2 linked regions of the Lepisosteus oculatus genome follow. The protein of the gene in region 2 interacts with the protein of the main gene of each other region in a pairwise test. Links are inferred from orthologs where the notes say so. Each region holds a gene or a part of one and is shown on either strand. Other genes may lie near its edges.

The links. The genes of interacting proteins can lie anywhere in the genome.
Region 1: the proteins of rap1gds1 (region 2) and plekhb1 interact in binary tests that used the Homo sapiens proteins (3 or more experiments, as listed by UniProt). The two-hybrid records come from large-scale screens. The link is inferred for Lepisosteus oculatus from reciprocal best matches to the Homo sapiens genes RAP1GDS1 and PLEKHB1.

Annotation. Positions count from the first base shown.
Region 1 is NC_090700.1:9,518,583-9,525,852, forward strand, and holds the start of plekhb1 (pleckstrin homology domain-containing family B member 1), read right to left. Parts: upstream 3,034-7,270; 5' UTR 2,812-3,033; coding exon 2,775-2,811; intron 1,578-2,774; coding exon 1,425-1,577; intron 282-1,424; coding exon 179-281; intron 1-178.
Region 2 is NC_090696.1:65,941,640-65,949,048, forward strand, and holds the start of rap1gds1 (rap1 GTPase-GDP dissociation stimulator 1), read left to right. Parts: upstream 1-4,400; 5' UTR 4,401-4,672; exon of another isoform or gene 4,673-4,761; 5' UTR 4,762-4,830; coding exon 4,831-4,834; intron 4,835-7,409. UniProt on the Homo sapiens protein: Acts as a GEF (guanine nucleotide exchange factor) for the Rho family of small GTP-binding proteins (G proteins) that stimulates the dissociation of GDP to enable subsequent binding of GTP.

The DNA.
Region 1 (7,270 bases), on a different chromosome or scaffold from region 2:
AATAAAGCCAAAACGGCATTGAATTTAATGAGTTTAGTAACTACAGCACAGGGGACCTCAGAAGGATTTTGCTGTCAAGGTAAGACACACATAATCATAAGCAACTTGATTCTGTCAGGTGGAACCTGTTTCAGTCTGTCTGTTTCCTGTCAGGAAGTCGTAGATGGGGAGCACTTACAGCGCCTCGTCTTCGCTGTCAGCACACAGCGCCAGTCTGGAGCCATCCTTCAGGTAGACCAGTACCAGGCATTCCCTTGGCCTGCCCTCCGGAGGGTCCACACCTGGAAGGGGCATGTGGAGAGGTGAGGGAGTGTCCTGGTCTATTACAGTTCTCCACTTTCGCCAACAACGAAAGCCAACATGGGGTTTCACACCATCGATTTCCGAGGACTGAAGGCAGTGCTCGGGCCAGGACAGAAAACAGTGTCCCTCCAAACAAGCATTTCTATTGTACTCTGAAGAGCTTGATTTATTGGACACATATTGAATCCAAGAAAGAAGTGCAGTATGTGACAATCAATATATATATAATCTATATATTTTATCAAATATATCATTACCATCTCTTAGATGTTTTTTTATATTTAGTAGTGCATCTTTATATATGGAAACAGAGTGGATGGTGGGAAGTACTGTTACCTTTAGCAACCTTAATTTGATTTGGCACCCTGTGTGTGGAGTTTGCATGTTCTACTGTGTTGGCATGGTTTTTCTCAAGCTGTTCCTGCTTTCTCCTACAGTCTAAAGACAGACTGACTAGTAAATTAGGTTAATAAATGTCTCTTTATTGTCTGACCCTGTGTGTGTATGTGAGCCCTGCAATAGACTGGTGTCCCTTCCAGGATGTGCTGACTTGCCTCATGCCCTATACCTGCAATAGGCTCTGCAATGCTGCAGCCATTACCAGAATGTGTTTATCTCAATGAGTTGATGGATATGGATAACTGTGACCAGTATGACTCCTAGAAAAAAAGTACTTTGTTGCTTGAAAATGTATTCTAATTAATTGGGTCGAAGACGGTCCAATATCTATAAGTGGTACACTAAGATTTTTAAAGCTCTCCATTTAGAAAGACTGAGTGCAACAGTGAGTGGAAATGAAAAGTAATTTTTTTTAAAATGTGGCTGGTTTTCTTGCCCTGAGTCCCTAATGACTGTCAGGTATAATTGGAAATAGGCAAGTGTTTCTGAGCTAGAATAAGTGAGACATTATTTAAGGTATACAGACCACAAGACACTCTGTTAAATAACTGCTTCATTAATTTTCTTTTGCTTTGGTCATTTTTTAATTGTTTCTAATGTATGATTTTTCCTTATATATGTTCTTTTTTTCTGTTTCAATATTGAGAAGCTACTAAGGTTTTCTTGAAAGAAATAAGCGTAGTTAAGATAGAGGATTTGAGGATCAGCTGTGCGTATCTTACCTGCACATTCAAGTCCAGCCTTAACAGCGACACATTTATGCTTTAAGCGGACCCTGTTCTCATAGTCTCTCCGGCTCTCGTCTTCATAATACAGCAGGTTTCCGTCCACCCACAAGTCGAACCAGTTTTTCTTCCAGCGCCGGAGCACAGAACCTTGAAGAAGAATGCAGGTAATGCTGTCAAATTCTGAGGAATTACCTGCGTGTGCCGGTGACAAAGCCATCGGCTGAAAGCCTGCTGCTTGGGCGTGAGACACATCTTTCCATCGGTTTTATCCAGCTCAGGGCTGAGGGGGAACTGGAGCCAATCCCAGCAAGCAATGGGAGCAAGGCGGGATACACCTTGGGCAGGAGGCCAGTCCATCGCAGGGCAGATAGACACCCCAGGGACAATGGTTATACTGACAGTAAGTCTTAGGACTGTGGAAGAAAATAACAGCACCTGCAGGAAACCCACACAATCATAGGCTGAACTTACAAACTCCACCCAGATTGCAACCCAGGATCCCAGTGCTACAAGGCAGCAATGCTAGCCACTGCGTCATCGTGCCACACACTAGTCTATTTCTTGATAAATTACTAAAATTATGTAATCTCCATCCCTTTGGGCGATGTTGCTGGCTGGCTTCCTCCTTTAATATTTTTCTTCAGCCTTTGTCACAAATAAGTAATAGGATTAGCATCGGGTCATAAGGGTGCCGGTTTCATAACTGATGACCCTCATTTTTTACATTCCTTTAAACTTAATGGAGCTATCACCCTTCCCAAGGTTATAACAAAATACTCATCCTTTGATAACTGGATTTTCATGACCATTATAGGAATAACAAAAGTAGTATGACTGATGTTTTCTTATTCACATCCTTTCATTGTATAACTACTGTAACTTTGTTTGTATTGAGAGGCATTACAATATGTACCAAATGTGTACTGGGACCAATAGCACGTGATGTGTTTTTATTGTCTGTCAGTATATAATTCATCCTTACAAAACATATCTTGTGTCAGCCTTTACCTTTGTATACAAAATTTACATGAATTAAATTTTCAAAAATTATATTCTTATTTTTGGTATTTAAAAAACCCTCGTGTTTGGTTTATCTATAAAAACACTACTTTGAAAGGAATCATGTGCCGCACTGCTAGAGTATAGAGTTCTCTATTCGAGTTGTTTTACATTATCTGAACTTTATGTTCTATTTCTTTTTGTGGTACTACTTCATGTTTTCTTACAGCTTGTAGAGCAATAATGTTCTGTCCCCTATTGTTAATTAAGCATCATACACTTCAACTAGAGGAAAACTAATCAAAGCAGTTAAGACAGTTAACGATAAATCAAATGTCCACTTACTTTGTCTCCAAAGCCATCCTGACCTCATGAGAGCCATCTGGGGAAATTATACCTAACGTCGCCTTTAAAGTGTGACGATGAACAGTGGGAAAACGTGTCGGGAAGATCTCCTTTTGATGTTGATGACTATTCTAGGGTTTTGCTCCCTGGTTGCACAGTTCTGCTAATCGGGGAAATGGTCCCAGAGAAGGAAAGACTGCGACTCTTTGTTTTCTTCTGGGTCTCTCTGAGGCTCCCTTTAATCTCGCTGCTGACACGTGGGATAATGCGGGATTAGTGACCTGCATTAGCCTGTGGACATTGAGAAAAGCCTGGAACTTTCCTGCACAAACAGCCCTGGTCTTCCTCCGCAAGTTCCAGATTTAGAACCGACGTAGAGCTTCTGTTTAGAGCTTCCATTTAGATTTCCTTGCTAACCGTAGATCATACACACTAAACCTAAAAGCAACAATAATATCATATATTTCAGCCCTAATTTAGACACACTTTATTTCGATGCTTTTACAATACATTTGTTTTGGGAGAGGCTGGGCCATTTCTCATTTTTGCTATTGCACTGACTGCATGTTGATGTAAAATATTTTGGAAGGTAGATCTGGTAAATGCCTCTGTGCAGCTGGTATGGATGTTAACCAGAGGCACATGACCTAGGTATGAAACATGAAATAAATGAAACGGTGAATCAAACTGACATTAAATTAGCACTCAATCCATGGAAAGTGTTAGGCATTCTTAAAATTGCATTTTATATTAAAAGTTACTTATATGGATGTAACTCAGAGTGTAGTTTTTGTTTAAGGTTTTGTAGGCTATGAGGTTTGGAAATAAAATGGAACTTACAGTAAATGGAAAAAAAAGACGTGACTATGAAAGATATGAAGATGAAGTTAAGTAATTTTAAACAAATACAAATCCCAGCATGCACTGTATGTACAGTAGAGACCACCTGAGATACAGAAAGAAGACAAGTCTTGTAAGGTTGGGTCATTAAGCTCTTATGTTGTAAATCCCTGACTAATACAATTCAAATGACTCATCAGGTTGTCACAAATACTGGACTCACATGACCACGTTCCTACATTCTTGATGACTTTATCTGTTACTATTTTGCTCCATTTGGGCATTTTAGAACTATTTCTATAGTCAAGGTAGCTGAATAGAATGGAAAAATGATGAATAAACTAAGCAGAGGCCAATCGATGTGCGGCAAAACCTAATGCAAATCAAGAGTGCAGCTCTGCAAAAATAAGAAAAGAGCACTATCTGACCGGTGAATCACTGGAGTCCACAAGGCAATATGTTGAAGCTGTTGTAAATGAAGTTTTACCACACTTTTTAACAACAAGGTACCAAACACTGAAGACTCCCAAGTATTCCAACACTACAAATCCAGTTCTTCTGTTTTAGCAAACTGTCACACCATTTCATTTCCAGTGCAGAACATGCAGTGTGAACTATTATTCCTTCTTTTTTGCAGAAAAAAGGGCTATTTTACCCTGAGAGTTTAAATTACTAGATGTTTATATCATTGGAAATACCTTGTGTGTTGAGGTTGATAATAAAGACATAGAATATTAGATGGTTTATCACAAGAGGCTCTAAATGTGTATCTTACTGTAATCTTCCATACGTTTTGCAGATTTAGTGCTGCAAAATAAAAGACTTATGTATTAAATCTTCAGGGAGTCTACACCTAGTCAGTATGATATCTTAATGTCTTAATGTAATCAGTGCTGCCATTCAAGTGCTATTAATTGTTCAGCGGTCAGATCTGTGGTAGGCTCAGGACACACAGACAGCCACAGCTTGCAGCTTATCAAATGTATCCTTGACTCATGTCCCCTGCAGTGAATCTGGTTATTCTTTCAGGATATCTATGGTTTGCTTGATTTCAAACGTCTGATGTCCTGAACAAACGAAAAGGTCAGACTTCGGAGGTCTCTATAGAGAATAAAATTGTGGGCTGTCTGCCTCGTTTATCCATTTCTGGGCAGCGGGCCAAAATAAAGAGATCAAAGGGTTTAGGCCTTTAGCACAGTGATGAAGATTTGTCTTTTGTAGTACACATCTCTGCCACAAGAGGACGCTCACCAAATGCTCACTCAGACCTCGTAGAAATTGCCAAAACCGTTCGTTCGTTGCCAAAAATAATGAGATTAATGAACACCATAGAGAGTTACCTGGATTATGTTTTTTTTTTAGAAAAGGTGCACTTTACGCCACTCTGTGTGTTTTGAAGTCATTACTGGATTTATAATTAAATCTTAAATAGACAAAAGTTAAATATGCTCAAAGGGACTGTGGATTTTCTGTGCAGAACACACACTGGCAATTGATTCTATTCCGTTACAGTGTGAATCCTCTGCAGGAAATAAGTCTCAAAATCCGCTTCCATTATTGACCACACAGGGGTGATAACGCAATATTGGTCTTCTGTGGCTCTAAAGCCTGAAAAAAGCTAAATTTACCGTCATATCTATGTCATAATATTTTGAGTCAGGTCAAACGTGGCTTCAGTTTTGCATATTTTTTTGCTAAACTTAATCAAAACATTCACGTCTAGATTAACTGAATTGCTTTTAAACGATGTTGAAGATTTTTTACGGTATTAAGTCCTGATTAAATCAATTAGAGCGAGCACACGCTCAAGCAGTGCTCAAGATCTGCTCTTAAAATCTGCCCGATGTGTTGTGAGTTCAGTTGATTGCTCTAATAAACTGTTTATGATCTCCCAATAACCACTCGGAATCTGAAAACGTCGGGGTTTGTCTCACCTGGGCACTGCGCTTGCTTTCTAGTCTGATAGTATTTCTTTTCTGCAACAGACCCCATTGGTCATGTTTGGATGAGATAATAACAGACACATCTTGGTATTTTCAGATATTACAAATATGTGCACTCTGCTTCAAACGTATTTAAAGGATCGGTAGAAATATTATTTTTCAATCTGCTTTATGAATTGCTGGCGCACCTAGTCGTAGAGGGTGGCTGCTTTTCAATTGATATTGTCCCTGCAAAGACCACTGCAAGCACAACCCATAAGCGATGTGACCGCTGGTGCAGTATACGTTCATCCAAGATTGATGATGATGATGGATAAAATAAAATTAATACAATTTGTTTCAGCTCTCAAGGACAATAAAACGTTAAGTAGATCACTTATCTGGCCAAAAATGGGGTGAATTTAAAGAGTCTACACCCTGTGTCCTCCTTACTAGATTCTGTCTCAGGTTTTACATACAAAAAGTATTGGGTCCTACATATCCTAGTTCTTCATTCCCAGTCACATAACCGAACCCCTAATTGACACGATTTACGTGAACCCATTAACTGTTTCCCCTTCCAGCTTTTGCGAAGAAATAAATAACTTGCAAAGGTTTCAGCCAAGCAGTTCGCTAGTTCAATGAAGGATTCAATGAAAAGAAAAGCTCGAGTGGGTAGGAGCCCCCTGTTCTAGAACACAATGTCTTCTAACATCCACCCGGGACGTGGTTCTTTTTTTTTTTCCACGATCACGCCCGCGTCATGGATCCTCTGACACATAATACAAAATGGCCATTAAAATGTAACACATATATAACATGGCTGTTCGTCGCAAAACGAACTAATTTCATGCTCGGGGAGGACATTTCCCAGGCTATAAAAAAGAACAGCGTCTCGTTGAAACACTCCTAGAAAGACTACTAAAGTCATATATTAAAAAAACAAGCTCAACGTCATTGTCCCACTGATTAAAAATGATGCACACAGCAATTTGCTTGAAAGGCGCTAGTTTCCCCCATGTCCACGACCACGTCACTAGTGTGCGCCATGATACGCGAAGGGACAGAGAAGGGGGAGGGGGGAACAGTCTCTGTTTGTTCGTGTAATTTGACGTCACAGAGAAAAGGTCCTCCTCCAATTTGCTTGACCCCCCCTTCCTCTCCTTTCTCCCCCCTCCCTCGCCTCTCGGTATCCCCATCCCCCACATTGTGTATGCGTGTGTCTCTGTTACCAACACTGACTGCAAGCCCGAAATCGCTGGAGCAAAGCGAGCGAGAGGAGGAAACCGCCAGCGTTCATAGAGAGAAAGGAGAATACGCACAACACAGTAGTGCTCGGAAAGAGTCAGAGGAAACTGGGAATAAAGTCGATCAATCCAACTGGATTACCACGGGTAAGAGAGGATCGCTGTGTGTTGATGGTCTGTGTGTATCCTGCTAATGCGTTTTTTTTTTCCCCTCTTAAGTGTCCAAACCTGGAATGCAGTCATGCAAACTGGAAAATATGAGAAATGGAAATGGTTCGCGCATTGAGGGGTCAGAGGGGGATAAAGGACATAACGATCACAAAAATTAAAAAAAAAATATATTACTTATAGGACATTAGCTATCGTGTTGTGTGCTCTCCTTCCATCACGTTAACACACAGGCAGAAGATACTGTACACACTGAGGGATACACAGAGATGCAAATGTTCAATGAATGCAATGGAATTGTCCGTGTTCTGACTTTTTT
Region 2 (7,409 bases):
GTGCTGACAACTGTAGCACTCGAGTTAAGAAATGTAGAGTTTCCACATTTTACACCTTACTTCAACTTTCCTGCATTGCAAATGTGAACACAAGAGTGCTGCAGTTACTGTTTTTCTGTCAGGATATTTATATCAGGAATATAGCGAATCTCAAAAATCAGATGTCCTAAATTTCATACAACTAATGACACTGCCAGGATTTCTTTGTTAACTACAAACATACAAACCTTGCAAGAAACATTCAGTACCACCGATAGCACTCCCTTGAGTTACCGATCGCTCTCAACTATAACAAAAGTTCAGTTGGTCTGAGTAAAAGCTATATGTGTCTGTTGAAAGTATCCTTTCAACATTTTGTTATGTGACATCTACAATAAAACATTTTTGTGGCTATATTTTCCGATTTTCAGGGAATGTAACTTCCTACAGATCTATCCTGTGAAACGTGTTTTCTGTAGTTTGTTGTTTCCTTTCAAGGTTAATGACATCACTACCCCATGGGCCAGTGCCATGTTAGTGCCTTTCCACCGAATATACAAAATTGATATTGGTCCATTGGTATTGGTTCCAGGCTATCATCAGAAGAACCTTTCCTTTCTTATGAGAGAAGGGGAGCTTGGAGTGATTTATTACCATCAGTTGCTCTCTTGACAGCATGCTTTTGGCTTTGCTGAGATTTAGACACTAATCATGTAGTGGTAAAAAGGATGACTCTCGGGACAACAGATAAAGCTTTTCTGACCTTGGTTCTGTGACTAATGATTTTATGTCCAAGGAAACTTGTTCCTGCTACTGTATATGGCTTCTTACAACAATCTTTTATTTTTTCTCAAACAAATCATTCATTTGTATTACTTAGTCCAATTTAACTCTCTGACTGTTCAACCTTCCTAAAACCTTTCAAACACGCAAGATTATTCTGGATTTGGATTCCTAGCTCCCAACAATGGCAGAAGCATTTTACAATGAGCTGACGTGTTGACCTTTTCTTGAGTTGGTATAACCTCTTGTCCTCATTCTTGTCCTCAACTTCATTTTTTCTCTGCTTTTCACCTTTGGCTGCAGTAGGTCTCTACTTACTTGGGATTATGTTGTAATGTTCTCCTCTTAGGTGTGGATATAGTCCTCTTCAGTGATGCAGAAGACCGACTGTCTTTGCATTTAATCAACCACTGATGCCGAGTACCAGCTATCAAATATGGTGCTAACAATTTACAGTACTTCTGGCACCGATTGTACGAGCAGAGTACTGACCATCAAGATACCAACCATTAGATGCCCCCATTGTGGTGAGAGAGCTACTTTTCCCTTTAATTGACTCACAATGCAAACGAGGCACTGTTATTGGGATGCCCCAATAATTCTGGGACATTCGTTGGTAAGCAAGAATGAAGGAACTCTTTGTCAAATCCTTGATCTCGGGTGGCTAAACAGATATCTATTTAGCTCTGTATTTGAGAGGCTTGTCTTATCTCATGTGCTAGTGTGAAAAGAGTCCTGTCGCTGGCTCCGTGGAGTCTTTCCAAGTGAATGGCTGTGGCCCCGGCCCTTATTCATGAGCGCTGGGAATATAAATGCTTAACTACCTTGAAGACGGACAAGTTCTCAGTTGAACCAAGTTGGAGGTGAACACAACAGGTTATCTTAATGTTAGATCATGCAACAGCACTGGGACAGAGAGATTTGGTGGATATTTGCGTGACGGGACTGTGTCTAAAACATCATGGTGGAACGCCTGTCCACAGGATGGCTGAATGGAGACGGTGCTTCCGTCTGGAGGCAATAGAAATGATTTGGAGTCTTTATACAAGAATGACTGTGGCCTTGTTTGACATGATATGTTTGTTCTTCTGCCACCTTGGTTCTTTCTACAGGAGTTCTGTAAGGCCGGGTACCCTGATGCACAAATAGCCTCCAGAGTTACTTTATGCCTTTCTTCTACTGGTGCTGTGTGATCGTCGTGGTTCTGGCGTCTCCGGCGTAAGGCAACAGGGCACCAACCGTGTGAGCTAAAGGAGACCTCCCTCAGCCCAGGCAGCTGAGGTCCCTGTTACGCGCAGGAAGAGCGCTGATGTCACTGCACTAGCTCCGCTACACTGCTCTCACATTGTCACCTTACACACAAAGAAGAGTGTGTCCAAGTGTTGGGCACTGCTTACTGAAGTGATGTTGGTCTAAAACACCACTCAAACAAGCAGCCGGTGCCACATCTTGAACCATCTATGACGGGATTTCTGCTGAGGCCCTCTGCACGGAAGCTTTCCCCTCCTAGCATGTCCACTTCCTACAGGCTGAGTGGGATGGAGGCAGTGCAGCCATCAGTAGAGTTTAGGGCTTTGCATTCTGCCTCGAAGTCTATTCATGACCCATCACCACCATGAACTTTGATTTTTGCCCTTGAGGGAACACCTGAATTTCCTTTCAGGGAGCCAATTCTATCAGGGTACCGAGAGCAGCCCCGTGATTTTTCTGCTGCAAAACGTCAAGATGTTACAGTCTGGAGTCTTGTTGCACATCATTTGAACAGGACTTGGTTAGGCAACAGAATAATGAAATGTTGGAGTGGGAAGCTATACCAGTGTGAGAAGGTTGCAAAGGAAAACGTTATGGTTATACCTTTGCTGACGAATAGAAAGGAGAGAAACAACATTTTGGCTGTTGGGCCTTCTGTACAACATGTTGAGCCCTATGCCAAATGTTCTAGTCAGTCCCAGAAGGAGACTAGTTCACATACATTCATCAATCTGAATGGTCCACACATCTAAAATGGCCTTCTGCTGAGGCTGCTGAGCACACCAGAAGAAGGCTCAGCAGCCCAAATGTTGTTGTTCTCCTTTATACTGTATTTGTCAGCATGGAATTGATGTTTACTTGATTCTTTTTCAAACTTATAAGGTGCTGGAGGACCAGGCAAGATTCTAGCAACAGCTATGAATACCAGACCTTATACCACCAGATTTTTTTTTTTTAGAAAGGAAAGCTTGAAGTATCAAGGTCACTGATAAAAATCACGAATAATATATCAAGAACTTTGGATTTGAAAGACGATGCATGACATGGAAGTTCAAACATGTTACATTAATCAGATCTATGATTTGTTGCAATTGTTCTTTCTGAACTATCATAAGAGTGCAACAAGTGTACACAATTACATTCTGAAAAGATTGCCAGGTACAGTATAATATGTGAATTTTGATATACAGTAACATAATTAAATATAACATGCTATAATTCTAACCTCAATTCGTATTAAAGTCAAATATTGACTTAATTGTATTTGGCTAGTCCTCCTTTCTTTTCTGTTTATGATATCTTTTGCAATTATTTCTCTTTTCTATGGGGCATATTGTTAAGTAACAAAGGGGGTGAGACACACAACAGGCGTTTGCTGTTTCCCAATTCCCCAGGAAAGATCCTGCTGAAAGTCCTCTTCGAACTGTTTGTAAAAAGTGAGAGAGCTATTCCCATTTGCCCGAAGGAGACAATGTAGCTGTCTACGGAAAACACATTTTTCTATAGTGAAAATAACGTTTTACAACCGCAAATGTTAGTCTTGCATAAATCAAGAAAAGCAGGAATACCACTGCAACAATTTCTCCTTCATATACTTGTGATACCGTATATCTTGGCAATGCTGTCATTTAAGTGAATCCTAAAAATACGAAAGATGGTTAGCACTGCTGAAAACTGTCCGTTTGCTTCATTTTATACTTCCTTTTGAGAACGGTAAGATATTAAATCTGGAACTTTCAAAAATAGGTCTCTTGTAAAAAAAACACTACGAACTCTACTCCACGAAAAGCAACATAACAAGGACATATTTCTTCTGGAACAAAAATAAAAGTTTAGAAAAAATAAATGTTGGCACATGGTATTCAGCAGCTGTCCCAGTTTATCAAACAGGGTGACCTAAAAGCATTGTGCTGTGAATTCAGATAATGGTGCTGTATTCCCAGATGACTACAGGTAAGCCAGACATGGTGCATTCTTGCGTAATTAGAATTTATTGGCGAGGGCCCGTGAACTAAATGAAGCAGTATCGTTTTTGTTTGATCCGCATTTAGATCCACTCTCTGCGAATCATAAGCACAAAAAAATGCGTCCAGCCTGTGCAGAACCTTAAATCGCATTTGTAACGAAAACTAAAAAAATAGGTGCGTGAACAGAAATCAATGAAAATTATGCTGTAAGACCAGATATGACACTAGTAGTGACATGTGATGTGTCAGTGAAGTTCAACTACTACCTGCAAGGCAGACTTCAAAGACCTCAGCGGTGCAAAGCACTCATAACCCCAAGCCGCGAAGCAGGGCGTGGCCCAGGCGGATGACGCCGCCTTTGTCCAATCAGCAGCGGAGCAACTCCCTGCCGTGCAGCCAAGTGGCCAATCAAGAGCAACGCGAGGGGCGGGCTCTCACCCTGTGTTGGAGTCGGTGCTCTCTAAGCTGCAACCCGGCTAGAGTAGAAGGAAGTAAATAATTAGATGGGAGGATTGATGTCATTTCAGTGTTTACGAAGATCAGTTTCCCCTGGCAGAATTGCATAACCCGAGTCCATTAACTTTGCGGGGTCCCCGTGTCTGTGCGTGTAAAGCAGCAGCGATTTCCGCTGGTGTGCGGGACTGTGAAGTGCACTGCTTTGCTTACTGGGGACGCCGCGGTGCGGGTTTAAGGTGGGCCTTGCCCGGATGTCTATGTGACTAAAAATCCCGGCACGGTCATCTCCAGATTAAAAAAAAAATAAAACATTTTTTTTACTCAGTCGTCCAAGTCTTCGGCATCATCCGCATCCTAATAGTGTCTGGGACTATCGTGCATTTCACCAGCCGATATGGGTAAGTCCTAACAAAATGATATGCGCTATGCGAAGTTCTAATATAGATCAAGTTCATATTGGTGGGGCATCGCTGAAATACTGTTGGTAGTTCGTCAAGCAGCCAAAGCTTAATCTTTTTGAATGTATCAGGCTTCTTTGCAAGAGGCGTATTACTGCAGCGGGTTGGTGGGGTGACCGTATCTTTTTTTTAGCAAATTAACGTTATTCTCTCATATGGAACATCTTGTTATCTAATCATGGTCTTTTCTCTGCCCAACACGAATAAATGCGCACTCACACTGATGGGGCTGGTTTCACATACAGAGTGGACTATGTAGGTGAACTGGTCTAGGACAGAGGCTGATTAAAAGGTCTGGGGGCTAGACCATAATATTTATATCCTACATTTGTAACGTTTTGTGGTGATTTATCCATTTCTGTTGCATTGAGATGAATAATTATTTGACTTTTCTATAATTTTATTTTTTGTGTGTTTACTAAACCGTGCAAAGGTGACAATTACGTATTATGCATGTAGGTTTGTACATACTCCTAATAGCAAACGTTTTGCTTTGAATCAATTTGGAGTTGGCGTGTCCGGTAATTTGCTATATCAATGTGCAGTCTCCTATGGCAAAGGAACTGTATTTTAATATTTAATATTATTGCGTTACGCAATCCACGTGTGATTATTTTGCACACGTTTGCCTATGAAAAGGGTTCCTGGCGCGTGCAACTGATTAATGACGGCACTTGACAGAAAACACTTTGTTTATTGTAACAATCTGCATGTGTCTAACAATGTAAGGGCCGATCAACGCCTAATTTGGATACTGCTTTATCATCAAACATCTGTAAAGAGAAGGCAAGGGTTTTTATTACCTTATTTCCGGGAAAGGAGAGTAGTTATGGTCGTGTTTGACCTGATTCAAATTTATAGTTGCTTTATATTATGGTATGATACTGCTTGGATTAGAAGTATTTAAAACTAGTGTACAGCATGTGGTTTTGAGTGCAGATACATTAAATGAAATGTGACTTGTACAAGGCATTTTATGCCTTGTTAGAGCACTGCATTATTTTTTTTTCTTAAAAGGATATAATAAAATACAATGGTGTGTCGTGTTTTGTGGTTGTGATTGGTTCTGGAAGAAGACAAATCCTTCTGAAAATAAACATTAAATGACTATTAGTGTGATGCCAAGATGTTGAGACACTGTTGCAGTAATCTGGGTCGGATACAAAACCTGATGATGCTTGTGGGCATTTTCTGAAAGTGAAAAAGAAGGTCTGGTTCACCAAACTCCTGCTGGTAAAGGAGACTGTGAAGTTGTTATATTTTTGGTTTATTTTTCACAGTCATGGTCCAATGTGTTGATCCTCATTCAAACGTGAAATATTTCTTCTGGATAAATCACTAAAGGGGCCCTTTGGGTAACGAGGTTTCAAATTAATGTTTCTTTTTTCCTTCAAGAGTGTTCATCCTGGTAAAGGACCTTATTTCAAGCCACTAGAGCAGGAAGTAAAGAAATTCACCACGGTTGGAGGCAATATTTTGTGTTCATTGTATTTGTCCCTGTTCAGTAAGGACATACTAAAGGAGGTACTCAAGATATGACCAATCTTGAGTTTTCTTCAGGTCTGTACAAAAATGCACTGATCTCTTTGTCACCTTAGTGAAGCACATAGTGGAGCTACATTGAGTGGCTTTGTGGAATAGCTTGCACATAGACAAAATATGAAGCTGTCTTCTGGTTTGGATACAGAAACTGAAAACATTGACACTCAAGTTCTCCTTTCATTATTTAATACTGCGTCCAAAAGAAATGGGAATCCATTGCTCTGCTTCTGGGGACATAATAGTCCATGTTTTTGTGTGCCACCTTTACTGAATAATTTTGTCCTCAGATACTCGGTGCCTTGCGTTGCATTTGAGACTCTCACATTGTCACTGTTCTGGGACCTCATGTAATGGCTGTGAGATCTGTTCGATGTGCTCCACCCAAAGTCTTCAAATGACGTTTGAGAACTTGGAAGAATGGAGAACTTGGCCTGTGAGTTTGGTTCTCCAGGACACAGAGCCTCCATACACCCGTGAAGGTGTTGAGACCATGTGTGCTATATTGCACCCTCCACACATCCCCATGCTACCCCCTGCTCTCCAGCAACTGAGAGAGATTGTCTTGACTCAAATATTTTAATTATTCCTGACATCTCTGTACATGATTCATCCAGTACTGTTGTAAGGTGGTTCCGTGATACTATTGCATAATTGATCTAGATTGTCTAGGTATAGAACTGCAAGTATCTTAGTAAATTTTCCTTGAAGTTATCATCTAGTTGAGAATTCCTGCGAGGAATCCTGGAGAATTGTGAAATGTGAAAGTTTGCTTTAGAAACCTTATCTTTCCCCATGTCCGTGTCAGGTCGATCGTCATTTTCATGGGACGTCCATAAAATCCATTTCTGTTTCCATCCTTTTTCCAACCCCTTCATGCAATTCAGATTCATGGGGGGAAGAAGAGCCTATCTAAGGGGCTCAAGGCGGGGTACTCCCTGGGTAGGTTTAGAGTTGGGGTTAACCCATAGACAAG